6 linked regions of the Xenopus tropicalis genome follow. The protein of the gene in region 6 interacts with the protein of the main gene of each other region in a pairwise test. Links are inferred from orthologs where the notes say so. Each region holds a gene or a part of one and is shown on either strand. Other genes may lie near its edges.

Evidence for each region.
Region 1: the proteins of stac3 (region 6) and zcchc10 interact in binary tests that used the Homo sapiens proteins (3 or more experiments, as listed by UniProt). The two-hybrid records come from large-scale screens. The link is inferred for Xenopus tropicalis from reciprocal best matches to the Homo sapiens genes STAC3 and ZCCHC10.
Region 2: the proteins of stac3 (region 6) and srek1ip1 interact in binary tests that used the Homo sapiens proteins (3 or more experiments, as listed by UniProt). The two-hybrid records come from large-scale screens. The link is inferred for Xenopus tropicalis from reciprocal best matches to the Homo sapiens genes STAC3 and SREK1IP1.
Region 3: the proteins of stac3 (region 6) and eaf1 interact in binary tests that used the Homo sapiens proteins (3 or more experiments, as listed by UniProt). The two-hybrid records come from large-scale screens. The link is inferred for Xenopus tropicalis from reciprocal best matches to the Homo sapiens genes STAC3 and EAF1.
Region 4: the proteins of stac3 (region 6) and l3mbtl2 interact in binary tests that used the Homo sapiens proteins (3 or more experiments, as listed by UniProt). The two-hybrid records come from large-scale screens. The link is inferred for Xenopus tropicalis from reciprocal best matches to the Homo sapiens genes STAC3 and L3MBTL2.
Region 5: the proteins of stac3 (region 6) and ppara interact in a two-hybrid assay, tested with the Homo sapiens proteins (2 studies listed by BioGRID). The two-hybrid records come from large-scale screens. The link is inferred for Xenopus tropicalis from reciprocal best matches to the Homo sapiens genes STAC3 and PPARA.

Annotation. Positions count from the first base shown.
Region 1 is NC_030679.2:37,639,980-37,645,174, reverse strand, and holds the start of zcchc10 (zinc finger CCHC domain-containing protein 10), read right to left. Parts: upstream 3,177-5,195; 5' UTR 3,099-3,176; intron 1,588-3,098; exon of another isoform or gene 1,572-1,587; coding exon of another isoform or gene 1,531-1,571; intron 1-1,530.
Region 2 is NC_030677.2:188,227,089-188,232,342, reverse strand, and holds the start of srek1ip1 (protein SREK1IP1), read right to left. Parts: upstream 3,041-5,254; 5' UTR 2,970-3,040; coding exon 2,957-2,969; intron 1-2,956. Other genes in the region: spliceosome-associated protein CWC27 homolog, read left to right, coding at 3,415-3,456. UniProt on the Homo sapiens protein: Possible splicing regulator involved in the control of cellular survival.
Region 3 is NC_030682.2:51,500,084-51,505,133, forward strand, and holds the start of eaf1 (ELL-associated factor 1), read right to left. Parts: upstream 3,390-5,050; 5' UTR 2,974-3,389; coding exon 2,868-2,973; intron 2,057-2,867; coding exon 1,962-2,056; intron 1-1,961. UniProt on the Homo sapiens protein: Acts as a transcriptional transactivator of ELL and ELL2 elongation activities.
Region 4 is NC_030680.2:116,007,144-116,011,637, forward strand, and holds part of l3mbtl2 (lethal(3)malignant brain tumor-like protein 2), read right to left. Parts: intron 4,489-4,494; coding exon 4,371-4,488; intron 4,115-4,370; coding exon 3,980-4,114; intron 3,049-3,979; coding exon 2,960-3,048; intron 2,606-2,959; coding exon 2,374-2,605; intron 2,187-2,373; coding exon 2,107-2,186; intron 1-2,106. UniProt on the Homo sapiens protein: Putative Polycomb group (PcG) protein. PcG proteins maintain the transcriptionally repressive state of genes, probably via a modification of chromatin, rendering it heritably changed in its expressibility.
Region 5 is NC_030679.2:3,236,014-3,240,235, reverse strand, and holds the end of ppara (peroxisome proliferator-activated receptor alpha), read right to left. Parts: intron 4,004-4,222; coding exon 3,843-4,003; intron 3,493-3,842; coding exon 3,354-3,492; intron 2,711-3,353; coding exon 2,511-2,710; intron 1,973-2,510; coding exon 1,525-1,972; intron 1,272-1,524; coding exon 1,024-1,271; 3' UTR 818-1,023; downstream 1-817. UniProt on the Homo sapiens protein: Ligand-activated transcription factor. Key regulator of lipid metabolism. Activated by the endogenous ligand 1-palmitoyl-2-oleoyl-sn-glycerol-3-phosphocholine (16:0/18:1-GPC). Activated by oleylethanolamide, a naturally occurring lipid that regulates satiety.
Region 6 is NC_030678.2:140,076,366-140,081,566, reverse strand, and holds the start of stac3 (SH3 and cysteine-rich domain-containing protein 3), read left to right. Parts: upstream 1-1,923; 5' UTR 1,924-2,031; intron 2,032-5,201. UniProt on the Homo sapiens protein: Required for normal excitation-contraction coupling in skeletal muscle and for normal muscle contraction in response to membrane depolarization. Required for normal Ca(2+) release from the sarcplasmic reticulum, which ultimately leads to muscle contraction.

The sequences.
Region 1 (5,195 bases), on a different chromosome or scaffold from region 6:
CATGCCCTATTAAAAAATCATTTAAACCCAGTAGGATTGTTTTGCCTCCAATAAGGAGTCATTATATATTAGTTATGATCAAGTACAGGGTACTGTTTTATTAATACAGGAATAAAGGAAATCATTTTTAAAAATTGGAATTATTTTCTTGTAATTGAGTCTATGGGAGACAGCCTTTCCGTAATTCAGAACTTTCTGGATAATGGGTTTCCGGCTAAGGGATCCCATACCTGTATATATAAATATATATGTAGCCCACTTTTGCTATGTGCCTTTTCTCCTTTGAATGGCTGCCTCCATGGCTACATAGCAGCTTATTTATATAAATTATAGTAGACTTTCTGAAGTAAACACCCAACTTTTACCAGTGCAGGGCAGCAGCACATTATATTTTAGCTACTTTTATACACTTTCATTTTTTGGTGTTACTGTTCCTTTAAGGGCCTCCTTCTGGGATCATAGGATTCACAGTGCACACTAACAAGCCAAGGCACACATACACATGCTAGGCCCCATCAGCCAATTAAAGGACAGAGTTCTGCCTTTTGCTTCAACACCTCTTCCTGTTAAGCCGGCCATACACACACTAATATTATTGTACAAAACCTTGTTTCGTACGATATCTGGTACATGTATGGCGGCTCAAAGAGGCGACCGATATTGGAGAAGGCTGCGACTCGTTGAAAGGTTAAAAGATTTAATGGCGGCCGAGCAAAATCTACTTTTAGAGCTGAATCGCCAGGTGGAGGTAGAATTCCTATTGTTTCTACCTCCATATCGGACGATTCAGCCCTGAACATCAGTGGAGGGTGGAACGCACTTGTGTGTAACCAATGGTCACATGAAAGATTGGAATTGCTACGTGTATGGTCACCTTTACAGTTAGAGCTGCATTATTTCTCTGTGATCTCTGAGGGAGCGCATAGCCCATCACTAAATGGTGGCTCAAGGGAAAGGAAGCAAATGGGGCAATATTTACTGATATATATATTCCAGTTTGGTAAAATTTTTTACTAGGTCACTTAACACAATATAAACTGCTGTGTTGGTTTAGTATTTATTCTTGGGGTATAGTTTCCTTTGCCAAAAATTCCAAACTACATTATCACCTATGAGTTTTAGACCTTCCCTTTACAATCTTTACATTTAGTTCTACCTATTGTAAAAGCAATGGACGTTTGCGTCTGTGAATATTTGTGCTATTATTCTTCAAATTCACGTGGCAGTTCACCAAAGCGCCCAAATGACCCAAGTATCACGATTCCACCGCCCCCAACTATGCCCCTCTTCTAGCCATATACGGCTATGTATACCTCTAGCACGGGCAGTACATATGCTCCTCCCACCTAAAGAGCCTCCAATCTCCAACTGAAGAAGCCAATAAATCCTGACACAATCTAGGCATAACATTGCCCCGCCCCCTTTATGCACGTCTTAAAGTTTCAATACCCCCGTCCGTACCAAAGCCTTATTTAGGTATATTCATAATATATGTACCCTGAGCCCGTCGGGGCCCATCGCTTTACTTACGCCTGTCTACGAGCGATCAGCCGGTGCATGGGGGTAGCCATGTCGAATAAGGCCAATAGACAACCCACTGCATGCCGGGAAACTGCGCGCTGCAAGAAATGACTGACTCTGTGACGGAAAGGCGTTATTTGCGTGCGGGCGATCGGCGCCATGATTGATGAGGGCATATTCCACACATAATGCAAAATAGTACAAAGAGGATGGAACATATTTTTATGTTTGCATTTTGTGTATATTTTGCAGGGTACCATGACATTTTCATTCTTTCTTATTTTGTTGCTCTGTGAGATAGTGAAAATGCTTTGCTTTATATTATAAGTAAGAACTTAATAGGTATGTTTTTGCACACATGCACCCTTCACTTTTCTAAATTGCCACAGGTCTCTGTGTACCACATGGCAGACTACACTGTTAGAGCTGTCATCCCTGGGAGATGTCTCTCTGGAAATTGTTATGGCATGTGCAGTGTGCCACCAATCTGGTGTGGGTGTGTGCCATTATTGCACATGCGCACAATGCACATGATGTCACTGAATGATCACTGCGCATGTGGGCGATATCGGGCGAATTTAGGCAAATTTGGTAATTTGGCCCTGGGGCCAAACGATCAAATTAGAACAATGGTAATAGCCACAGTTAGTTCAGGGACAGCATCAACAAGCCGATGTAGTGCCCGATCCAACTCAATTTTTCAACCTGCCCGATTCTGCTTAGATGTCAGTCGGGCAGGCCCGTTGTTATTGCCCCTACATGGGCCGATAAGCTGCTGAATCGGTCTAAGGGACCTATATCGGCAGCTAGAATCAGCCCATGTATGGCCACCATAACTCTCCCTACTCTTCAGCATACTCCCAACAGCTTTCTAAACCTACTCACATAATCTCTACCCAATCCAGTTGGTCTGCTCAGCCCTGCCCTTTTTGTGCATAGCTCCTCCCCTCTTAGCTCTGCCCTCACCACCACTGCACAGACCCTTATCTGTAAAGGCCAGTGTTGTCGACTGCAAAAGGTGGCAACCCTATCTGGCAGCAATGGAGGCTGGCTGTAAGCACAGGTCTACCTTGTGTCTGCCAGCACTGCACCTAGAGCCTGATCTCCAATCTAGTACTAAATGCAGAGAGTAACCAGACCCTGGAGACAAGTACTTTTTAAATGAGCACTAATGGGAGCACTTTTGAACCCTGTGCTCTACTTGTGCATCTAAAAACACACAACGAAATATGAATGCAATGAAATGCAACTCTGAAATCAGTTAGCTGATGTGCTCAAACCTGCGTGTCAAATGCAGAAAAAATACCTGTGTGTAAGAGCCCACTGGTAGCCTAATTAGTCAAGCCTATTTTGTTTCAGAAGTGCTTATGGTTGCCTCCTCCCCCCCTTTAAGACTGAACAAATATTGCTTGAATCCTGTGTGAATAATTAACTGATCTTTCAGATGTATACTGGGAAACTGTACAGAAACCAGTTTAGCCTGCAGTTTGCCGGAAAGTCTAGGATAAGCTTCTGTTATTCTCTGATAACGCATTGGCCTTGCCACAAATCTAGTCCTTAGCTCTGCTGAAAGTTACCTGTAGGCTGAAGAGAGGGAAGAGAAGGGAAGGTGCAGTCTGCAGGTCAAAAAAGGAGTGTGGCTTGCAAGGGCCTATCACATGGGGGCCCAGGTGATTTGTGGGCTAATAATTGGTGCCCCATGGGGGAATGGCCCTGCCTACTTAGTAGTATGTAACCCCATGGTTACTGATGTCAGCCCTGTACCAACGTTTAAAATTAAAGCAGAGTTTTTCTTGTATGAGTTTTATTAAAATGCAAAAGAAGGTACAAGTAATGCCTGACAATATAGAATAGCAGTAACACTTTGCCACAACACAAAAAAGCAGATGGAGAAAAGACCATCTGTGATATCATGCAGAAATGTAGGATAAGACTGCAGGAGAGAAAAGGGAAATATGCAGCTTCCATATGAATATAAACAGATCTTCCTGGAGAAGGAACTGAAAAGAAAGTAACAGAGAATGGAAAACAAAGCCCACAAAGGGGAACAGTGTGCATTGTTCATGATGCCAAAGGAATGCAAGCAGTCTGGCAACTTAAGAAAATGTCCAGGGGCAAAAAAGCAAAAGAACCTTAACAATAAAATAGCTGGACAAAGAACTTGATGAATACATATCCAAGAAAATGCATGAATGACCTTGATGCAGAGCTGGAAAACTCGGGCAAGACCTCAACCAGGATTGATCAAGGGCAGTTAGGAGCCTAACACTGACCAAGGACATGTGGACAATAACAAGTCCAGAACAAATGGCAAATAAACTTTTATTTTAGTGCAGGGATCCCCAACCTTTTTTACAAGCAAATATAAAAAGTATTTTTTTTGTGTGAGCCACACAAGCATGAAAAATTATCTTTGGGGATGCCAAATAAGGACTGTGATTGGGTATTTGGTAGCCCCATTTGGACTGCTAGCCTGCAGGAGGCTTTACTTGGAGTAAAACTACGCCTCCATGCTTCCAAAACTTACCTCTAAGCTAGAAATGAAAAATAGGCACCTACTTTGAGGCTACTTGGAGCAACATCAAAGGGGTTGGTGAGCAGCATGTTGCTCACGAGCCACTGGTTAGGGATTACTGGTTTAGTGCATACAGAGAACTTGCTTTATCCTTTACTATTTTGTGTTTGTTGAGGTTAATGCTTTTAAGTTTTGTTTATATTCCTGTAACATTAATGTTTGTGGAAGGAGTGAAAGGAGTAACAGGGCCATGCATCAGTAAAACAATACCCAAAGACACAAAGGTTTTGTGTTTGTGTAAAGGTGGCCATACATTGTAAGAGCCGCTTACCGGCCCACCTAGGGCCAAAAAATCTCATTTAAACAGTGGGCACAGGTGCTTTCGGTTCGGGTACCGCATCAACAACCCGATGCAGTCAATGGAGAAATTAAACCTGCCCAATCGAGATCTGGGCAATTTCATTCCAGATGTTGGCCAGGGAGGCCTGTCGGTGGAGGCCATACACGGGCAGATAAGGCGCCGAATCGACCTTAATCGTCCCGTGTATGGCCACCTTAAAACTGGTCATACACGTAAAGATTTGCACATAAAGATTCACTTGTTTGGCACAATATTTCCTCAATATGCCCATATTGAGCTGGGCAATATTACTGAGCACTAAGCACTTCAGAGTTTCATAACCTGGAACTCCTTGGTGACTTGTAATATCCTTGGATTTTACAATAGGGGGTACATTATTCACTACATAATACACTAGTCATAAATATCCTGTAAATTATACAGGCATAGTACCTGTTATCCAGAATCCATCGGTCGCACGAAACATCGTCAGATCCGCCACACACCCTTCAGGGCTGAATCGGCAGGTAAGGAGGTAGAAACAATGGGATTTCTACCTCCTTCTGCCGATTCAGCGCTGAAGGGAGATTTTGGTCAGGCGCCTTCTATGGTGCCCGATCAAAATTTTTTAAACTGGTTCCGATCGGCGAGTCGGTCGATATCAGCAGCTTCCTGCGATATCGGTCGACTCGCCGACATACCATACACGCACCGAATATCGTACGAAACGAGGTTTCATACGATATTATCGGTGCGTGTATGGCCACCTTTAGTCTACTAAAAAAATGTTTAAACATTAAATAAAGCCAAAAGTACTGT
Region 2 (5,254 bases), on a different chromosome or scaffold from region 6:
TTTTTGGGCAAAGGCACACTTGTTTCATGAAAAAAATCACGAGGCACACCACCATTAGAAAATGTTAAAAAATTTAACTCTGTGCCCAGCAGCAGTGCCCCCCTAGTACATTGGTGCCCAGCAGCAGTGCCCCCTAGTACATTGGTGCCAAGAGCAGTGCCCCCCTAGTACATTGGTGCCCAGCATCAGTGCCCCCCTAGTACATTGGTGCCAAGAGCAGTGCCCCCCTAGTACATTGGTGCCAAGAGCAGTGCCCCCCTAGTACATTGGTGCCAAGAGCAGTGCCCCCCTAGCACATTGGTGCCAAGAGCAGTGCCCCCCTAGTACATTGGTGCCCTGCCTACGGCACACCAGGCAACAGTGGTTGAAAAACGCTGCTCTACACTGTTGGCCAGGGCCCTTGCTAAAGCCATAGCCAGATCCAAGTATTGTCCTTTAAAAAGGAAAATCATTTCTGTTCAGGTCCTTTAGAGCCCAAAGTTAACAGACGACTGAAACAGAATATACAGCAAATGCTTTAGACAGAGTTCTCTATTTGGTTGAGGAGGATATAAAAGTTTACATTTGGCAACCCTTTCCTTTCTGACAAGTTTTATCAAAGGCCTCTCCAGTCATGGAAATAAAAAGGTTACTTTTTTTAAAGCGTAAATTTAATGAGTTTTAACCAGACCACACTACTTTACACAGCATGCAGCACTATCGAAAGGCACAGCATAAGTGACCCATTTTCACTGTTGACAGCATTTTCTCTTTAGACCTATGGTGCACACAGCATCATACTGGTATGAAGTATCCATATTCAGGGCGGGACCATAGTGCCCTCCTTACACTCACAAATGACTCATGAATCACTAATAGAATGACATGCTTATATCTGGGGGACACTTGCTACTAATAACCACTTTTATTAAAAGTGAATACAATCAAATATGCCTGTGGCAGAAAGGTGCTGAGAGTTAGACCAGTCATGCACACAGCATGTTAAAACCTGTTCATAACACCCATCATGTTTACAGGGTAACCCTTTTGAAATAAAAAATAACAAAAGTGGTATAAAGGTGATACCTTTATTGGCTAACTAAGATAATCATAGCAAGCTTCCAGAACATTTTAGTTCCTTTTTTCTAGCCAATAAAGGTACAGGTATGGGATCCCTTATCTGGAAACCCATTATCCAGAAAGTTCCGAATTACGGAAAGGTCATCTCCCATAGACTCCATTTTAATCAAATAATTCACATTTTTAAAAATTATTTCCTTTTTCTCTGTATAAATAAAACAGTACCTTGTTCTTGATCCCAACTAAGATATAAGCAGTGGGGGATTTTTGGTCCCATTTAAAAACTGTTGAAGTCACACGGAGCTACTAGTAGCAGCTACTTTTTTACAGCTACTAAATGCCAGAAAATCCCCTGCCATAGACAATACTGAGAATTGCCTCTGCTAAAAAACATGTTGAGACTGTTATCCAGGGCTGTGGAGTCGGTAGAAAAATTCTCCGACTCCTCAGTTTCTGATACTTCCGACTCCTCTGTTTTTAATATGCGAATGTATTTTATACATTCATACAGTCAGTGAAAAGCATGCTTCATGGTCACTCAACGTGTTAGTTTATGCACTGCGTGCATTGGGCTTTATTCTTATAGCAGAGAAGTAATTAATTATGACTGTTTGTGAATTGGGACATTTAAACTTGCTTTATTTTTTTTTTTTTATTCCCATTTAAATTTAGTAGGAGTCGGAGTCGGTTCATTTTTTGCCGACTCCGACTCCAGGTACCCAAAATTGCCTCCGACTCCTCGACTCCGACTCCACAGCCCTGCTGTTATCAGTAAATGATCAGCATTGTCTACTACAAGTAGCAGCTACTATTAGCTCCATGTGTCTTCACCCTAAGGGCTCTGGTACATGGGGAGATTAGTCGCCCGCAACACGGGAGATTTGTCGCGGGCGACTAATCTCCCCATGTACTAGAGCCCTAAGGGTACAAACCCACTGAGTGAGTTAGGAGAGATCTATCACATGTGAGTAACTGCTTCGAAAAGGCTTTCCACAGGTAACAATAGAAGTCGCTGGTGGAAAGCCCTTTGTATCGTTTCGTGTTCCGAAGTTGCACAAAGTTTCCTCCTGCAGGCAACTCTGCGTGAGTAGTCCTTTTTGGAGCAGCTACTCGCATGCGATATTGTGGGCAAGTAACTCGCTCGGTGGGTTCTTAGCCTAAAGCTGGCCATACACGGGCAGATCCGCTCGCTTGGCGATGTCGCCAAGCGAGCGGATCTTCACCCGATATCACCACCTACGGGTGGCGATATCGGGGAGGAATTTCGGTGAATTCGATCGTTTGGCCCTGGGGCCAAACGATCGAATTCTGCAAGCAGCAATGGGGCAGTCGGTTCGGGGACCACATCAACGAGCCGATGCGGTCCCCGGTCTGACAGGATTTTCTAACCTGGCCGACCGATATCTGGCCAATTTCAGGCCAGATATCGGTCGGCCAGTCCGATCGTTTCTGCCCCTGCACGGGCCGATAAGCTGCCGAGTCGGTCCAAGGGACCAATATCGGCAGCTTCTATCGGCCCGTGTATGGGGACCTTAAGAGCCTGAAGACAAAGGCAGAAACAACCGAAAATATAAAATGAAGACTAGTTGAAAAGTTGCTCAAAACAGGCTATTCTATAACATACTTAAAGTTTAACTGAAGGTGAACCACCCCTTCAAAAGCAGAAAAAAATGATGTCCTACGTATTTTGGGGACTCGGGCATAAAATAGCGGGGGATAAAACTAATTGGGTTGGGGAGTTGGGTTGTGTGCGTACAGTGTACAGTACAACATAATGCACTTTGCAGAGACTTTACACATGTCGAGTTCAGACTCGAGCCTGTATTATAAAAGTCCTCTCTATCAAAATCAGATGGATCAGGTGAGGTAAAAAACGTGATTTATAAATCAGACTAACCTGGGACAGCCATAAGTCACAATTCTCAGCGTCCGTACACAGAAGATCGCACCCCTCAAACAGTTACTGCGCGCCTCCTAACCAATTCACTTCCTCGGAACTCAATCACAGCATGGACTTGTTTCTCAGCGGAACAGAATAAGCGGTGCGCAGTGGAACGCAAATGAAAGCTCTGGTTTCCGGGAAGTGTACTTTCGGCCACACTAAGAGAAAGGGGGGAACTAAAGCAATGCAACTCTGGTGTAATCATCCTCTGCTGTAGACGCTGTGATCTTGGAGCATTCGGGTAACAAAATACGAGCTACTATATAACTGTGGATGGGACGAGTCCTGTTAACGCTCTTTGCTGTGTCATTTTTAAATCAGAATCTTCTCTGGCACCCCTCTGAGGCTGTATGTGGGCGGTCCCGTCCTGTCAGGTTGCACGCTGGAGTTTGTTTGCAAGAAGCTGAGTAACAATGAGCAATATTTACATTCAGGAGCCGCCGACAAACGGCAAGGTGAGCAGCGGGAGAAAGTAAGGGGCTTGTAGGGCAGAAGGATAAAGGAATAATATTTAGCATGGGATTCCCATCTGCTGTTGCTGAAATATCTCTCCCAGCGCGGTACCTGATAAAGGAAATGTAAAGTCTATAAGTAAATTTACTCAATGTTTTTCTGTGAAAATACATTTCCCAGGGTAAATGTTTTAGTTTCGCGTCATGTAGCTGCCCCCCCCAGCTGTCAGCACATTGGTATAATCCACATGGGGAGCAGAGAGGACTGTGCTGCGCTTTATGGAGACTCCTCCTGCATATTCAGCCCTAGGACAGAGCTTCTGAGCTGACTAACTAATGTCCTGCTAGGAAGGTGCCCAAATGCACCAGTGCAGGCTGTCCTTTAGTTACATGAATGGGCTCCAGGCGAACCCCAGCCACATATATAGGCTATATACCAAACTAACATACCTAAACTATATATACCAACATCAATACTAACTGTAGATATTAGTATCACAATAGCCTTGGATATTCTGCTTGTTCAAGAACTCATCCAGGCCCCTCTTATAGGCATTAACAGAGTCTGCCATTACCACATCACTAGGAAGGGCATTCCCCAACCTCACTGCCCTCCCCGGGGCGTGAGGAACCCCCTACGCTGCTTCAAATGGAAGCTCCGTTCCTAAGGGGGGGCCTCTGGTGTGGTGGTTGTTTTTATGGGAAAAAAAGAACCCCCCCATCTGCCTATATTCCCCTCTAATGTACTTGTACAGAGTAATCATGTCCCCTCGCAAGCGCCTCTTTTCCAGAGAAAACAACCCCAACCCTGACAGTCTAACCCCATAGTTTAACCCTTCCATCCCCTTTACCAGTTTAGTTGCAGTCTCTGCACTTTCTCCAGCTCATTAATATCCTTCTTAAGGACTGGAGCCCAAAACTGCACTGCATACTCAGGGTGAGGCCTTACCAGGGACCTATAAAGGGGCAAAATTATGTTTTCATCCCTTGAGTCAATGCCCTTTTTTTAAGCACTTTATTGTAGCCACAGAATGACACTGCCTAGAATTAGACAACTTGTTATCTACAAAAAAAACCAGATACTTCTTTATTAAGGATCCCCACAACACACTACTATTTAGTGTGTAATATTATTACATTATTATATTATTTCTACCCAAGTGCATAACTTTGCAGTTTTCAACATTAAACCTTATTTGCTGCCCAGTTTTCCAGCTTTGTCAGCTCTGCAAAGCGGCAGCATCCTGCATGGAACTTATAGTTTTGCACAATTTAGTATCATCAGCAAAAATAGAAACAGTACTTTCAATGTCCACCTCCAGGTCATTAATAAACAAGTTAAAAAGCAAAGGACCAAGGACTGACCCCTGCGGTACTCCACTAACAACACTGGCCCAATTAGAAAATGTTCTATTTACCACCTCTCTCTACACTGTAATCTATCCTTCAATCATTTATTTATCCAATTTAAAATATTATGTTCCAGTAGTGCTGGGCGGTATACCGGTATATACCGAACACCATTTTTTTAAAAAAAAAATGATAAAAATTTTTAACTTACCGGCATACCGGTGTGGGCGCCTCCTGGCAATTTTTCTTACTATTTCCGGGTTGTGCGCGCTGACGTCGCGCGTGCAACCCGGAAATAGTAAGAAAAATTGGGGGGGGGGGGGTGTTTGGGGTGGTCACCTAATCATGCATGGGGAAAAAAAAATACCGTCAAATACCGTGATACCGATATAATAAAAAAAATACCGTGATATAAATTTTTGGTCATACCGCCCAGCACTATGTTCCAGGC
Region 3 (5,050 bases), on a different chromosome or scaffold from region 6:
CCCTAATAATCAAAACTCTGGTGACAACATATTGCACTGGGACTGATGGCAGAACTATATAACCTATGACTTGTTCAAAAACTATAGTGCTTCTTTATATCATCATGTGCAGTGAGCAAGTAATTTTGTGCACAACTGCCAATTTTTTCCTAGAATACAGCATTTTTCCCCAGAATTCCAATATCATTGCTTACATAAACAGGCGGACCTCTTGATGCAATTGTGCTGAACCTACTGCCATTGCATCCAAAGGGGAAACAACTGTGCATGCATTCGGCCACAAATTGGGCACCCTGGAGCCACTGCATGGTCCGGAGGTGCCGGTGGCTCCAGGGTCCCCGTGTCAATAGGCACAGCAGCATAGGCGGAGGGTGACTTTTTTTGTTTGGGGAGGCTAAAGATGGGCCATACATAGACTGATTTAAAGCTAATGTGAGAAGTAGTGGATTTTCTTCTGGTTGGCAGATATTGATGGCAGATATTCAGGCCCTGGCACTATAACACTGGCACTGAAACACAACATTGGTTTGTTTCACAGCTATGCAGTCTCATGACGGCTTCACTGTAACTAACGAGAAATGAACAAAACACTAACAAAAGTAAGAGAAAAAGTAAGTGCAAAAAACAACAACAAATATATTAAAGCACAATGAGCTTTTTCAGGGGGAAAGAGTTAATTTAGGACTGGAGTAGGGGGGTTAGGAAAATTACAGATGCCAGATGACAAAAAACTATTTCATTTCAGCTATTGATTCAGCCTTTAGAAGATATAAAGTATAGTACCTGTGGAATGAAGAATTGGTGAGGTTCTTAGGTAAAGTTACAGCCTGCAGATTCATCTAAACAGTCTTCATTTCTGCAGTGCCTACATCTGTACCTTGATTGGTCAATGTTACTGTCTGTCAAGAGAGCTGTGCTCTGATTGGAGAAGCCACAAGAAGATCCAATCAGAGCACAGCTGATTACAACAGAACCAGAGCTTGCAGGAAGGAGGAATGCAAGAAGATTTCCCCAATGTTCCAGAGCAGTGCAGAAACTGATTGATTTTTTTTTCTATTTTAAAGGTGCAGAGCAGGTTTGGGGAGACTTAGCCTCCCCTAGCCTTATTGAAAATCCGCCTATGCACAGCAGTGCACGATTTGTTACTGAAGGCAGGATGGACTGAGCGGCACTGAGCACAACTATAGGGAGCAGCAAGAAGTGCATTTAAGTACCTTAAATGAAAGTGGCTTTACCCTCAACTGACTGTGGGAAAAAGTGCAAGTTGCCTGCTGTACTTGCGGATATAAATGAACCTTTATTTGTAATCACTGTGCTCATCACCTACTTTTTACATGAATGACACCAATGTTTCTAGCCATCTACTGATGACCATGGTGAGGGACAGATGTAGACAGAATACAGTGAGAGGCATATTTAATATAGTGTGTGAGCCAATATTACTGGGGATGTTGCCCATAGTAACCAATCACAAATTAGATCTGAACACCTAAAAGTTAGAAAACAAAGATCTAATTGGTTGCTAACATGTAGTTGTCTGTTCAAATCTAATTGCTAATTGGTTGCTATGGGCAACATCACCGGTGATGTTGGCTTACATACTAATAAATATACCCCTTAATGTATACTGTTGGATAAATGTTAAGACTTTTTTACAGGACTGATCTGGGCATGGAGGCCTGCATCATGCTTGGCATTAATAGTTTTGAATTGTCAGCACACCAATTACTGATGCTCCAATAGTGATGGCTGTTCTAAGAGCTGTAGTTAAATGAATACATGCCTCATATCCCTGACTGCTACATGATTTCATATTAGGTAGCTTCCACAATAAGCAACCAATCTCCTCATACCGAAAAAGAATGTTCCATGCATACCATATGCACTTATTCTGTACAGTCTAACTGAAAGTTTCACACCACATGTTTTCAGATGCTTTTTCAGTGTACGACAGGACTTACAGGAATATGTGGCAAGGTTATTGTTACTTCATCTCCTTTGCCAACCTGAAGTTCCCCCTCACAAGAAGTGTCTATGGATGCTGGCTTGAAATCATCTAAAAAGAACATAAGGTATTTAATAGCGTTGAATATAAAGAAGATTAGTGAATAATGCCCTCATTTCCAGTCATGTGTAAAAGAAAACAAATTACCTACTAGAGTGTAATTCACATTTAGAACATTTGTATATCAGTATTACAGAAGAAAATCATGAAAAATACAGCCTATTTTTTTTCTTGCATGTAGGTTTGGTTTACTGTGAACACAAAACATGCACTATTGTCATTGTATTTAATGAACAGTAATAAACTTCAGCACCACGTAGCTGCCTGCGCAGTACTATGCTTGGCTGTTATAAGCCAGACTTTATCCAGTGACAACACACAGGATTTTCTTTGTGTGATTTTGCCTTAAAACCAGTTTTTCATCACAAAAAAAAAAAAATTTCAGTGCAGCCCCCTTCATCAAGTGAAATACAACAAAAAGATATATATTTCACCTGACAATAGGGTTGCCCTCAAAACTTATGTTATGATGTTATGTGATTAATAAACTTTGCAAGGCGATAGCCTGTATGGCTGCCCTTCATGTGCATTATTGGAACTGTAAACACGTGATATCTGTCATCAGTCCATAAAATTATAAAGATTTATGGGATTTGCACTTTGACAAATGTGCTTCTTTGCTTCTTTTCAAATATAACATATTTATCTGTTATTGAACCTACACACTGTAAGTTTAAGGGCAGCAAGACATAAAATTTAGAATAAAGGTCTCCCAATCATCTTTAACCCCTTTCCACAGACGTGAAGCCACAAATAAGCCCCGCCCCATACAGGTGTAGTTGTGTGATGTCATTGTACTCACAGCGCACTGTGTGGAAAGAAGAGCGGGGCCTCTTTTCGAAACTCTCACCGAGGCGAAGGATGTGCTCCTCTCGGTCCAGCGGCGGTGGGGGTGGAGTCCCGTTCATTGCTGAAATTCCAGCTACTACAAGAAATCTTAATTATGATTCTCAATAAAATAATTAAAGCTGGAATAGCCGTCCACAAGTATTTTAGTTAGCGCAGGTGCACGACACTAACCCGCAATGGGATTATCACACCAACCGTAGGGAATAGAACCTGTCACAAATTCCACACCCCACCTTCAAATATTTATAATAATAACCCAGCGCAGGTTATAAAAGCTCATGCTTAAAAGAACAGTCACCGCACCAAAAAGCCCACGGATATGTTATATACCACAGATCAAAATGAAGATCCGTAGCAGCACAGTGTTAAAGATGTGACGCTGTATCCATCTCTCCACGCCCCCTCCGCAATGTTGTGAATGTTATGTCTGCAAGTCTAAAAAGAGATACCAATGGTGCAGTAATGATAAATTATCCAGAGTCCACCACTATTATACTCAGGAAGAGTCATTCAAACAGCCTCTCTAAAGACATCGTTCTCAATAATTAAATACAGCTCCGTCACTTGCTCCGCCCTCTGCTGATTTACTGCACCCATTTCTCCAGTCTCCGAGCACTTCCTTACTACGGGTCGTCAGTAAGGTCAACCTTCTTCTGATCTTGCTCATGTAAAAACCTGCCAAATTCTAAAAAAGAGATGCAAGCTTCAAGCGTGACAATCTAATCTTAGCTTCTGCTGGACCTCCTTTCCTTTTTTTGTTTACTGCTGAGTTTCCTATTACATGCTGGGTAATGTAGTTCCTTTAGCTGTTTGTTACTATTCATAGTTACATAGTTAGTTACATAGTTACATAGGGTTGAAAAAAGACCATTGTCCATCAAGTTCAACCCATCCGAGTAAACCCAGCACACAACCTATACTAACCAATCTATACACTCACATACATAAACTATATATATACAACCAGTAATACTAACTGTAGATATTAGTATCACAATAGCCTTGGATATTCTGCTTGTTCAAAAACTCATCCAGGCCCCTCTTAAAGGCATTAACAGAGTCTGCCATTACCACATCACTAGGAAGGGCATTCCACAGCCTCACTGCCCTCACCGTGAAAAACCACCTACGCTGCTTCAAATGGAAGCTCTGTTCCTCTAATCTATAGGGGTGACCTCTGGTGCGCTGATTGTTTTTATGGGAAAAAAGAACATCCCCCAACTGCCTATAATCCCCTCTAATGTACTTGTACAGAGTAATCATGTCCCCTCGCAAGCGCCTCTTTTCCAGAGAAAACAACCCCAACCTCGACAGTCTAACCTCATAGCTTAAATCTTCCATCCCCTTTACCAGTTTAGTTGCACGTCTCTGCACTCTCTCCAGCTCATTAATATCCTTCTTAAGGACTGGAGCCCAAAACTGCACTGCATACTCAAGGTGAGGCCTTACCAGGGACCTATAAAGCGGCAAAAATATGTTCTCATCCCTTGAGTCAATGCCCTTTTTTATACAAGACAGCACTTTATTTGCTGTAGTAGCCACAGAATGACACTGCCTGGAATTAGACAACTTGTGATCTACAAAAACCCCTAGATCCTTCTCCATTAAGGATGCCCCCAACACACTACCATTCAGTAGATAGTTTGCGTTTATATTATTCCTACCAAAGTGCATAACTTTGCACTTGTCAACATTGAACCTCATTTTCCAGTTTGCTGCCCAGTTTTCCAATTTTGTCAAATCGCTCTGCAAAGCGGCAGCATCCTGCATGGAACTTATAGTTTTGCACAATTTAGTGTCATCAGCAAAAATAGAAACAGTACTCTCTATGCCCACCTCCAGGTCATTAATAAACAAGTTAAAAAGCAAAGGACCAAGGACTGACCCCTGCGGTACTCCACTAACCACACTGGCCCAATTAGAAAATGTTCCATTTACCACCACTCTTTGTACTCTATCCTTCAGCCAGTTTTCTATCCAATTACAAATATTATGTTCTAGGCCAATATTCCTCAATTTGATCATTAACCTTCTGTGCGGTACTGTATCAAACGCTTTAGCAAAATCTAAGTAGATGACATCAACTGCCATTCCAGCATCAAGGTTCCTGCTCACCTCCTCATAAAAGGCAACTAA
Region 4 (4,494 bases), on a different chromosome or scaffold from region 6:
AGTAAAGTACAGAGAGAAACTTGTCTCCGTTTGCAGATATAACTGGCTTCTTACACTTTTAGAACTTGCACTGTAACACCACACATTTTTTTTTTAATGAAAGGGGATGTTAATATTCTAATGTTTGTCTGAATGTGAACAGCTCATGTAATGAAAAACATTTTTCTAACTAATCTTCATTTTTAAAAGTTAAAGGAAAACTATACCCCCAGAATGAATACTTAACCTACAGATATTTCCCTTTTAAATCTTTTTCCTTGAGCTGCCACCTGCCAGGAAATAATGCAGCTGTAACAGGAAGTAGTGTGGGAGTAAAAGACAGAACTGTCCTTATTAATTGGCTGATGTGACCTAGCATGTATGTGTGCCTTGGTTTGTTTGTGTGCACTGTGAATCTAATGATCCCTGGGGGCAGTCCATAGTACTTAAAAGAGCAATCTTCTATTTAGGATTCTCCAGTGGCACATACTGCCATATCTTTATGAAAACAGTTTATTTACATGAAGCAGGGTTTGGATGTATAGTTTTGCTTTAGGCCTTTTCTACTATTGCAGCTACTTTTTGTTGGTCAGTTTCTCCAATTTCAACTAAGGATGGGAGCCACCAACACCCTGATTGTGACCTCATGTCCTGCAAACAGGATGGCAAAGGCGTACATTTAGCAATTCAGTATGTCCCTTTAATTTGCTTGCTATTGATCCAATTGGCTGAATCATACCATCAAATCATAAAAAAAATATATATAAAAATTAATCCAAATGGAAGCTCCCAAACCATTCAGTGGTGGGGGAAATTAAACGGGATGTGCCAACTTCTGGACCAGCAAAGAGCAGTTGTAGTGGGAGATAATGTGAAAATGCTATTAAAAGTATATGGAATGGCCACCTAGTGGAAGAGATGAGAAAACTAGAAAGGATTACACACATTATACATAACAGAAGCAGCATATATTAGAAAATATGGGAGCCATGGCTCTCTTTTTTTAAAATCTAAAGCCCTCATACAAGCTTAGGAATGCTATGCTAGACTACTGCCTAGACAAAAAAAAAAAACCCCTTCACAATAGGTTTCCAGATTCTTAACAATAATTAACTCGCTGTCTTGACTTGTCACTGGGTTTGTCTGATGGGCAAAATTTGTCTGATGGTCATCCCTACCCTTTTGTACCCCTCATTTTTGTTTGAAAACTGAACATCCACATTAAAGTTTTTTAAAGGGGTGGTTCACTATTTCATAGAATGTACTATTCTGAAAAAACACAAATTAATAAAATAAAAAATAAAAAAATTAAATTAAAATGAAGTTAATTTAAAGTTAATTTAGTTTCTGCTGGAAGTAACGGTCTAAGCAATTGATGATCAAGACACAACTTCAATTTTTAAGTTGAATTTCTGTTGCCACTAACATTGTAGCTGTGAAACAGGGCCAGAGGCAGAAGAAGCAGGTGTCTAGGGTGCAACTAAGGGGCTCCTAGTATCATGCATCTGCTGCCTGCAGCACTGAGAATGCAAGCAGTTGGCAAGTAGGTTGGGCAGACATGGGAGCGTCTGAACCTTGGGCACCTGTAGCTCTTAACCTGGCCCTACTGAGAAAAACATAATGCACAATACAAGCCATACATTTGGTTAATAAAGCGGTGACTGCAGGGAAAAAAAGAAATACTATGGGGCAGATTTACTAGTCCACGAATCCGAATCCCGAAAGGGAAAAAATTGTATTGGAAACTTTTTGCGACTTTTTCGTCGCCCTCGCGATTTTTCGTATCTGTCGCGACTTTTTCGGCACCGTCGCGACTTTATCGTATTTTGTGCGATTATTTCGTCGCCGTCTCGATTTTTTTGTATTGCGCGATATTAAACGCCGGAAAACCCAATCCGATTTTTTTCGTGACGGCGACGAAAAAGTCGCGGAAAATATACAAAAAAGTCGCGACGGCGACTAAAAAGTCGCGAAAATACCGATCATTACGAAAAAACGCGTTCGGACGCTTTTGGTCTGTTCGTGGATTAGTAAATCTGCCCCTATATGTTGGGAAATTAAATGTCTTGGCATTCTACCACCTTCTCTACAAGGTTACCCTTATTGTTCATTGGCTGTTACTCTTACTTGTTTGAAGAGGTGAGGCACTGCATCACAGTATACCTTGCGGAAAGTGGGATGACTGGACATTTCAAATCGCTTCAGGTCTTAAAGAAAGATATACAATAGTGAGTTACAAAATCTAAGTCCTCTGCCCTTCCACAACACAATTCAAAAAGTGACTGGACAGAAGCCTGTATTGTATTAACCAAGAACCAAAAAACCTTAGCTGGGAAGGATGCAATAGATATATTTCTATACAACATTTAGGAACTATATACAGAAAAAAATTACCTGGAGGTTTGATATTATGGCCAACCTTACGAGCCCATCCTACAGGATGGATCAAAGGGCTGGTCATGTGGCACCAGAAATCATCATTTTTTTCTCCATCCTCATACAAAAGCCTCATTCGACCTCCAATTACTGTATCCACCACTGCCGATCTCATTCGTGACATCTTCATCTTGTCTACAGCCTCCAACCGCATGCCCTGTCTGAATGGGCATCTGAAGCTCTCTGCCATCTGAACATAATTTTTCCTGAATTAGTAATTAATACCAAAGACAGAAGGCGGAGACTAAAGAATGAAAGAAAAGCAGTAAAAGCTTCCCAGGACCCAGAGAAATATACAATCCCTAATCCGGGGGCAAGATGGACTCATTCTTATCTATATTATTATTCATAATGTAAATGGGCAATTACAGACTTTACCATTATATCATCAAGGTGCCCCCAAACACCTCCCTCCTAGTGGTCCAACCCTATTGGTCCCACTTGCTATCCAAGGATCTTAGAAACACATGCCTCTGTTCCTTCTTCACAAGTCTATATATGTAAACAAGGGACAAATACACATTTCTGCATCTGTTTAGATAACCTTGACATGGAAATCCGCAGGTATGGTATGGGAGCCGACCAATTTCTTCATAAGGTATTCTCTCCAGTCTGTAAACTTTGAAAGGATGGCTGCAAGGTAAGAAAACATGTGAAAATCATCTTCAGTTTCTGGGTAATTTGAAGTTCTCTTTTTTGCTTTCTATACCATGTGTTATAGGTATTTTCTTTTGTACAAGATACTAATTAAGGGGCTGGTTGACTTTCAAATAACTTTTTGATTGGACTTTTTCTTTTTTTATAGATAGTTTCTGAATTATTTGCTTTCTTCTTCTGACTCTCACCAGATTTCAATTGGGGGGGAGTCACCGACCCCAGCAAAAAATGCTACAATTAAGTACTTATCGTTATATTAAGGCCATCTCCTATTCAAATTCCAGCCTCTCATTAAAATCAATGCCTGGCTGTAAGGTTAATTTAGACCACAGCAACCAGCTGAATATAAAGCTAAATAACTAAACAAACACAAATAATAAAACAATTATCACAGAATAGCACTCTCTACATCATGCAAAACATTATTTTAAAGACAAACAACCCCGTTACGTATCCACATAGCCTAATATGAGTTTGATATCCTGGGCACAGAGGTTTTGCCCAAGGCCACAATAAGTTGAGACCATGATTACCAATAACAGACCCAAACCCCCAAGCCCACCAGCATAAAGAACCAGTAATATCATATAGTGAAAATGTATTTTAGAAGATACAGATCATTTATATACGGGTACTGATAATCTTATTAGGCACTAAGGCATTACCAGAGTCTGCCATCACAGCATCATCCGCAGGGCATTCCACAATCTCACTGCCCTCACCGAAAAGAACCATGGTAAAAGCACACATTTCAGGATTAACAACTCCGCTCAGGAAGCCTCATATACATCTGTTGCCTCACCCTTTCAGTTCTCTCCATAGACATGACTGGAAGTACAGCTGTCTTTAGAAAACACCCATACTAACACACACAAAACTTTTTTTTATTCTGTGAAATATTTCATACACTGGGGTGGAACCAATATTTTGCTGTTTACTGCACACCATCCAATGGGATGAATTTCCACTGTTCCCAAGTTGCACCAGTAGTTATGGCTCGAGTCTTCTTCAAAACCTTCATACTGAAGTAAAGCCTTGTAACCTAAAGGAATAAGCATTGCAGTTTTAGGTACATGCAAGAACATATATCATATAAAAAATTTGTACATTATGTATATATTATATATATTATTATCGGAGTAAGGCTGGTGCATATTTTTATATTAGACGGGCTATGGCACACATCAGAAGAGAATCTGCCCCATGCGGAAGTTGATTTATTTTCTTTTGCAGAATTCCACAGGCCACAGAGAAATATAAAAAAAAAAACAGATGGACAGTTGCAGTTACAGTCCTACCTGCTATCTTGACAACTGAAGAAATCCAATAGACACGACTGGGAAGAACAGCATCCGTATTTAAACTCTCTACCTTAATCCCCTCTACAATATCATCCCACTGATCACAGAGAGGAACCTGTGC
Region 5 (4,222 bases), on a different chromosome or scaffold from region 6:
GATAGTCTAACCCCAGTCCCAGGGCAGGGCAGATAGTCTAACCCCTGTCCCAGGGCAGATAGTCTGACCCCTGTCCCAGGGCAGATAGTCTAACCCCAGTCCCAGGGCAGATAGTCTGACCCCAGTCCCAGGGCAGATAGTCTGACCCCTGTCCCAGGGCAGATAGTCTGACCCCAGTCCCAGGGCAGATAGTCTGACCCCAGTCCCAGGGCAGATAGTCTAACCCCAGTCCCAGGGCAGATAGTCTAACCCCAGTCCCAGGGCAGGGCAGATAGTCTCACCCCTGTCCCAGGGCAGATAGTCTGACCCCAGTCCCAGGGCAGATAGTCTGACCCCAGTCCCAGGGCAGATAGTCTGACCCCCGTCCCAGGGCAGATAGTCTGACCCCAGTCCCAGGGCAGATAGTCTGACCCCCGTCCCAGGGCAGATAGTCTGACCCCAGTCCCAGGGCAGATAGTCTGACCCCAGTCCCAGGGCAGATAGTCTGACCCCCGTCCCAGGGCAGATAGTCTGACCCCAGTCCCAGGGCAGATAGTCTGACCCCAGTCCCAGGGCAGATAGTCTGACCCCCGTCCCAGGGCAGTTAGTCTGACCCCCGTCCCAGGGCAGATAGTCTGACCCCCGTCCCAGGGCAGATAGTCTGACCCCCGTCCCAGGGCAGATAGTCTGACCCCCGTCCCAGGGCAGATAGTCTGACCCCAGTCCCAGGGCAGATAGTCTGACCCCCGTCCCAGGGCAGATAGTCTGACCCCCGTCCCAGGGCAGTAAGTCTGACCCACCCCCCCGGGCAGATAGTCTGCCCCACCCCCCGGGCAGATAGTCTGCCCCCGCCCCCCCGGGCAGATAGCCCGCCCCAGGAACTGTAGTGCAGGCTGTAGGAAGCGTTGCCATGGCTGGAGGAGAAGGCACAAGTAAATAAGCCCCAATTCTGCTGATTTTGCTCCCGTCCAAAAATATGGAAAAATAAAAAAAATCTTTAAAAAAAAAAAAGTAAAATCTTTAAAGGAGAAAGCGGCCGAGCGCTCAGTACATGTCCCTGTAGATTTCCTGCAGCAGCGGGTGCAGCGCCGCGTCCGTCTCCGTCTTCTTGATGGTCTGTACCAGCTGCGCGTGCTCCGTCACCAACTGGCGCAGGTCGGCCATCTTCTGCAGCAGCTTCGGGAAGAGGAAGCCGTCGTCAGGGTGATTCGATTGGAGGTGGAGTTTCAGGACGTGGACGATGCTCTCCTGCATCTTCTCTATGCTGGGAACGTTCACCAATCCCGGGCGGTCTGGGGGGCGGGGTTAGGGAACAAGAGTTATGGATTCCACAAACTGACTGCCCTTACAGTAAGGAACCCCTTCCTATGCTGATGGTGAGATCCCCTTTCCCCCCCACCCCCAATGTATCACTCATTCCCCCTCTCTGGGTAGGGAACCCCATAACCTGACTGCCCTTACAGTAAGGAACCCCTTCCTATGCTGATGGTGAGATCTCCTTTCCTCCCCACCCCCAATGAATCACTCATTAACCCCTTCACTTACCTCCACAGCAAATGAGCGCCGCTACAAACAGAGACAGGTCGCTGTCGTCCAGCTCCAAGGCATTGAACTTCATGGCAAACTCAAACTTGGGCTCCATCATGTCCCCGATGGGCTTCCTCAGGCTCTTCAGGAATTCCCGCGTGATGAAACCGTTGCCGTAGGCCACCAACATCCCATCCTTGTTCATGACGGACGCCAACATGGCGAACATGGCCTCGTAGACCCCGTACTTTAACAAAGTCACTTGATCGTTGAGGTCCAGCTCGGTGAAGCCGGGGATGGATTTGGCGAACTCCGTCAGTTCCGTTACCGTCTCTACCGACGTGCACTGGCAGCAATGGAAGATCCGCACCTCCGCCTCCTTGTTCTGGATGCCGTTGGCCACCAGTTTGGCCACTAACGTCTTCTCGGCCATGCACAGCGTCTCCATGTCGTGTATAACAAACGGCTGCGGACAAACTCTATGGTCAGAACCGATTCTCCCCAGTGACCCATATTAGCCCCAATAGCACAAGGGCTGATGGGAAAACTGCCCAATAGATGAGTATAGCATGTTACAGAATGGCCTATTCCCAGCAACTTTTCAATTGGTCTTCATTGTTTATTTCTCGACCCTAGCAACCAGTTTGCTGAAGAGCTGCAAATAGTAAAAAATGAAGACCAACTGCAAACTGTCTCAGAATAGCACTCTCTACATCGTCCTAAAAGTTAATCTGAAGGGGAACAACCCCCCCTTTACAATAATTGCCCTATAAAAAATGTTCATGTAATACTACAACCAACCAGCAGATGGCGTCATAAATCCTAAATAATTGGGTTTAACCAACCTGTTTGACCTCCGTGTTAATAACGAGCGAGCGCTGGACTCTGTACTCGTGCGATTGCACCATGTTTGTATAGTGAACTCGACAGATTCAAATCAGCAGGACGTGTTCCGACTCCTGAAACAATGTAGCGAACTGGAATTCGATTGGTCGGGCACTTACCGGATTACTGGCTTTGCCCGTCAGGATGGCTCTGGCTTTCACTTTGTTCATGTTGAAGTTCTTCAGATACGCGTCGTAAATGAGCCGCGCCAGAGAGAGGAGGTCGCCCATTGGTGCGTCCTTAGTGTCCTGGTCGCACGTCTGCACTTCCGCCTTCAGTTTCGCCTTTTCCGACCGCGGCATCCTCCCGAATCGTATCGCTGGGAACGAGAGAATGTACCGGGGTAAGTACTGGGGGGGGATTGGATTCACTTACCCAGGGGAAGGTTCCTGCCTGACCATGGGAAAGAGAGCAGCCCAGGAGCAGGAAGTACAGAGAATCAGAGCTCTGTACCGGGGTAAGTACTGGGGGGGGATTGGATTCACTTACCCAGGGGGAGGTTCCTGCCTGACCATGGGAAAGAGAGCAGCCCAGGAGCAGGAAGTACAGAGAATCAGAGCTCTGTACCTGGGTAAGTACTGGGGGGAGATTGGATTCACTTACCCAGGGGGAGGTTCCTGCCTGACCATGGGAAAGAGAGCAGCCCAGGAGCAGGAAGTACAGAGAATCAGAGCTCTGTACCTGGGTAAGTACTGGGGGGAGATTGGATTCACTTACCCAGGGGGGGTTCCTGCCTGACCATGGGAAAGAGAGCAGCCCAGGAGCAGGAAGTACAGAGAATCAGAGCTCTGTACCTGGGTAAGTACTGGGGGGAGATTGGATTCACTTACCCAGGGGGAGGTTCCTGCCTGACCATGGGAAAGAGAGCAGCCCAGGAGCAGGAAGTACAGAGAATCAGAGCTCTGTACCTGGGTAAGTACTGGGGGGGGATTGGATTCACTTACCCAGGGGGGGGAACTCACCGTTGTGGGACATTCCGACATTAAGGCACTTTTCGAAGCGGCAATATTGGCACTTGTTGCGGTTCTTCTTCTGTATCTTGCACATTCGCTCACAGCGCTCGTACGCCAGTTTAAGGCGGATCGTCCTCCGGAAGAAGCCCTGCCGGGGGGGGGACACAGAGGGGAGAATCCATATAAGACAAGTGAGTAAGTCTGAGCCGTCGGCAACAGGAATGCGTAAGAATAAGAAACCGCCAATTATCCCGATAACGAGTATTTAGCCGACTGGGCACCACAGTGGCGTACCCAGAATGCAATGGGCCCCCCTGCAAGAAAATCTGTAGCAGGTACTTAGCCGCCGCCCCCTCCCACTCTACAAATATTAAGCAGGGGGCGTGCATAACCTTGGCGAGTAGAGCGGCTATAGAGGAAGCCCCTGGGAGGGGCCACACACAATATGGCTGCCGACTCAGATTCAAGGGGAAGTTGAGCATAAAGAGTAGTCCGTACCTTGCACCCCTCGCAGGCGTGAACCCCATAGTGGAACCCGGAGGCCTTGTCTCCGCACACTCGGCACTCGAGGTTCAGCGACTTGCAAGACACGTCCTCTGCGCCCCCCGGAGCCGCGGGGAAGGTGACGGACGCCGGACTCGACGCGGGCGACAAGGTGTCTGCAATGACAACAACATCTCAGCATCTTATAGAGGCGGTTCCCCTTTAAATTAACTTTTCCTATTTTATAGAATGTTCTCTATAGTTATTGAATTATTTGCCTTCCAATGGGGGTCACTGACCCCGGCAGCCAAACCCTATTGCTCTGTGAGGCTCTAGTTTTATTGTTATTGTTACTTTTTATTCCTTATCTTTCTATTCAGCCCCTCCCCTATTCA
Region 6 (5,201 bases):
TGACTTGCAGTACCACTTCTCACCGTTGCAGAGATCTAATGTTTTTTATAGACCGAAACATAAATGTGCTGCTGACTTGCTGTTAACTGAAATTGTTAAATGAAATGCAAAAGCTATTTCTTAATTAGCAGAGAGACCCTTAATGTCTGTTTTAGAGAAAAAGGGTAATACTTCCCCTTAATAGTTTCATGGTGTGGGAACATCCAAGGCCAGGGTAAGTGTAAGGGTAGAGCAGAGACAGTGAAGATACAAAGTTTCAGTACATACCTGCAGCCCTCTAACTGTTACTGACTTGTAGCTTCAGCAGGTCAAACCCATGTTGTGTGGTTTGTTTGGCTTCCCCATTATCTGCTCTTTGTATGAAAGATGCTCTGCCATATATAATAGGGTGACAACCCTGTGCCTCCTCTAAACGGGTGACATTTAATTGTTTTTATTATCACTGGTTGATCATTTGTACCACTATTCCATCTGCTGATCAAGATGTTGCCCTGCGCATGGTGCATCAGCAGACGAGCAAACTGGTGCTGGAAACACATATAAACTTATAGCTGCTCCATTCTAGAAAGTTAACCCCCCCCCGTAACAAATCTAGCTGCACATTAGCACTAAACGGAAGAGCGTCACAATAAAATGTACACTTTTTTATGCTATGAGAATAATTCTCCAGATTTTGAACAGAATAAAAAAAAAAATAGAATGTTGTGTTCTTTGGTCATCAAGGAGACTCATTGGAGACTCCCCTGCCCCCCTGAATTGGCTTCTGTGCCCACTCCCATATGAATCCCCACACCTGCCTGTTCTCTTACCTGAAAGCTGACGCGGAGCAGAGATTTATATGCAGTACTGGAGGAAGCAACCCCTGTGGTCCGGGCCCCCCTGTCCCCTGCCCCCCCCCCCATCCTGGTGACTGTGGGGTCTGCTTCCTCCATTCTTACGCCACTGTTAACTTTTAGTATGATGTAGAGAGTGACATGCTGAGACAATCTGCAGTTGGTCTTCATTTTTTATTATTGGTGGTTTCAATGCATTTAGCTTTTTGTTTAGCAGCTATTCAGTTTGGAATTTTAGCAGCTATCTGGTTGCTAAGTTTCAAATTACCCTAGCAACCAGGCAGTAGTTTGAGACTGGAATATGAATAGTAGAGTGGATGAATAGAAAGATAAGTAACCCCCGTTTGAAAGCTGCACAAAATGATACAAAAAATATAAAAAGACCATTGAAAAGTTGCTAAAAATTGGCCATCCCATGAAATTAATTTAAAGGTGAAACACATTTCCTGAAATTATTATAACAGAATGTTTAGAGCCAGTGTTGGAATGTTTTGAGTCTCTTGAATTCTATCCATGGAATGCAGTGAATGTGTTGGGTAAAATATCTTCCAATGCTTAGCATACTGACTGCCATTTTTATATTACACAAAGCATATAAACTGGTGATTCCCCAACACATAACCTTTAGTATTTCACAGAGCAATTTAATCTAAGCAATCTAAGCTTTATAGATGTTTTTCTTTCTTCTGAATAATTTACCTTTCTGTTTGCCTCCCTTCTGGAATTCCTTCTGCCAAACCACAAACAGGCCTGAAGCCTTTTCCTGGCATTTCATATTCATTAGTGGGAAAGAGGGAAAAAAAAGCACATTTAAAACCAAAACATATTATCATTTCCAAGTTGAATTCCAGTAAAAATAGGAATTGTTTTGTGTGTGTGACAAACTCCCAGGAATGAAATGACTCCTGCGCTTTCCTCAGTTTCCCACCTCTCAGCCACCTCTCCAATTCCTGGTTGGGCCTACTGCCTCCGTGCTATGGCTGCTTGTAAAGTTTCCGATTTCTCTGTGTCAGCCTTTGCCTCTCAGCTGTCCTGTCACCTCCACACTTGTCACTCCCTCTCCTCTGAGGAGCAGTTTGTTTCATTATCTGAGAGGAGTGAACGAAGGATCTCTGTGCCCCTCACCTAAGGTCTGAAAGTGCCTTCTGAAGACAAAATGTTCCAGTAGATCCCCATCTGAGAACTACAGGTGTGTAAGGTTTGTCTAGGCATTGTACGCCATTTCTGTTTGCCCTTTAATGCTTCTTTGTATTTCCTTTTAAATGATCTTTATGCCACATAAAACAAAATATCATGTACCTGCTTGGATTTCATTTTAGTTATCTTGTAAAGAAAATTCCACATACACAATGTTTCGGCCACATCAAGGTTGTTAATAAATATATTGATCTTTATCATTATTTATAGCAATGATATATTTTTGTGAGTTTAAATACAGTGGAACTGTAGTGTTTCAGCTGAGGCAGAAGCGCAGGGATTCTGATAGTTGTAGTTCAGCAAGAATTATGGGGGAAAGGGGGCAAGATGCCTATTCCTGAAATAGGCACATTACCTTGGTTTCATTTGCTTTTCTGACTATAGCAAGTCACTAACAAATGCTTAACACAAATTGTAAGCTCTTTAGACAAAGATTTATTGCTTTACAGGGGATGCAATCATTATAGTGTTTGTTCTAATACTTTAGATCACTGTATAGGGATTTCTTGTGACAGTGATTTATTTCAGTTTTAGAAATATTTTATTTATCTTTATGTTTGCATTTAATGTCTATATCCTGTTACTTCTGCCTTATGGCTGAGATTCTAGCTATCCTTATAAAATAACATTTGGTTATAAGAGTCATGGAGCACCGGTCCGGAACCCACTGTTTCCATCACTGCAGCCTTTACAGTCCTTAAATGGATACACGGAATGCTGGAAAACTAAGCTTAGGCAGCGCAAACCAAAACACTGTTGCAATTTGATTTTATATCATAAGTAAAAGAAAATCGAACAGATCTTGTTTCTTTAAGTCTTGCCTAGTAGTTAAAACATTTTTCAAACATTCTACTGCTTATTCATTCCCCCCGACATTATAATCTGATAATTTTTTTCATGCTGTGAAACAAGTTGGCTGCCATACATTTTAGAGAACCAATAAAATAGCTTATAGGCATATCTTATCTAATCGACTCATTTTCAAAACCCACTGTGATCACCCATCTTTCCTCCCAGTGTGTAAGCAATAAACTTTAGTGGGTGTGTCAGTGGCACTTTGCCAAACATCCGCTTACATTCCTGCCAATGCTGATTAAAAATGGGGATATTTGTGGCCATGTTTCCACTCCACAAGACCACACCCAAACCTGCCCATAACTCCACCCACTTTTCAGTAAGCCTGCGACCATTTCATAACCCAAAACATGAGACTGCCCTAGCTAAAATGGAATGGTTAGTGGCCAAAAAAATTGTCTTCTCTTGTCTTTAACTTTTATTTATTCTAGGATAATTCCATACTAGATATGTTAGGGGATCTAATGTAATTTAATCTCTTTACCTCTTGTTTGGTCCTAATAGCTGCCTCCTGGGGCTGTAAGGTAGTGTGAAACACACACATCACTCAGGTGCTGCCAAAGACTCCCCAATAAGAAACACCAGTATGTTCTTCCATTCAGTAGCAGCCTTTATACATGTACAGTATGTGTGTGAGTATGAGTGCCAGCATCTACATCTACTTCCATCCAAATATTTTGGAAGGTGCTTTCTCTTTACAACAAGATGCAAACTGCCTGTGTCACATTCACTGTTTCTGTCCTGTCTTTGGACACATAAGCTGTTAATTTTAACCCCTCGCATCTACAAAAAGTATACAGTCAGCTGCCAAGCCTTTAGAATTTGTGTGGGATGATGTCCCATCAGAGCGCTCAGACAGAGTACAGCTGTTATCAGCCATCAAACATGGCTTTTAATATCTCCAGGGCTTCAGTTACACTGCTTACGAAAATAGTTTGTCCACAAAACCCCAAGCACTGTCTGTGGTTAATATACCGAAAGCTTCAGGCGTCTATGGTTTTCTGCTTGCTGTATTTGCGTAATTATACTGCATGCATTCAAACAATGGTATTTAAACAATGTGTAGGTGGCATATAGGAATACAGCTGGTAGGGAGTATGGCGCCAACAGCTCTAGAACACCCTTGTGATGAAAGAATTTTCATAGTTCCAGAACGTTCAGTGAACTAGTGGTTCTCTGTACAAAATACGATGATGAAAGAATTTTCATAGTTCCAGAACATTCTGTGAACTAGCGGTTCCCTGTACAAAATATGAGATGAAAGAATTTTCATAGTTCCAGAACATTCTGTGAACTAGCGGTTCCCTGTACAAAATATGAGATGAAAGAATTTTCATAGTTCCAAAACATTCAGTGAACTAGCAGTTTTCGGTACGAAATACAATGTTCTGTTGCTTCATTAGATTACACATGGCACCCATAGGGATCCTCAAAGAAAGCATTTACTGACTGGATCAGATGTCGGATACAGGTATGAGATCTGTTATCTGGAAACCATTTATTTAGAAAGCTCCAAATAATGGAAGGGGACATCTCCCATAGACTCAATTTTACCCATATAATTTTATTTTTTTTTCTCTGTAATTATGAAACAGTGCCTTGTACTTGATGGTAGCTAAGCTGTGAATCCATATTGGTGGTAAAACCATCCATTGGGTTTGTTTAACGGTTTAATTATTTTTTTTTTTGTGGACTTAAAGTATGAAGATCCAAATTATAGATCCATATAGATTGTAAGCTCTACGGGGCAGGGACCTCCTTCATCTTGTGTTTCTGACTCTTATTCCAACTGCACCTTGTATTTATTGTTGTACTTTGTATTTATCCATTATCTTTTGTATTTATCCATTATCTTTAACCCCCTGTCTGTATTAATGAATTCTACTGTACAGCGCTGCGTACATAAGTAGCGCTTTATAAATAAAGATATACATACATACATTATGGAAAGAACCCTGAGCCTTCTGGAAAACAGGTCCCATACCTTGAACACACAGATATAATGCTAGTTAGCACAATCCTGTATTTTAGCCTCATGTATTTGGATTACTCTGTAGGCTACTGTATCTAGATAGCAGCCAAAATAAACTTATGGTAAGTCAGTATTTATGAATCAACCATTTTTATGGCAGTGTACAAAGGGGGCGAAAAATTAATAGAGGCTGAATCCTGCCTTTTTGAAGCTCAGCTGTTCTGTGACAAAGCTGGCGGCTCCAGAAAAAGGTTGTCATTACATTCTGACTCAGAGAGGCATGGGATTGATCTCTGCATTCGTTACATTCTTTTGTTCTTCAGAATTTAGAACCTTTGTAACCT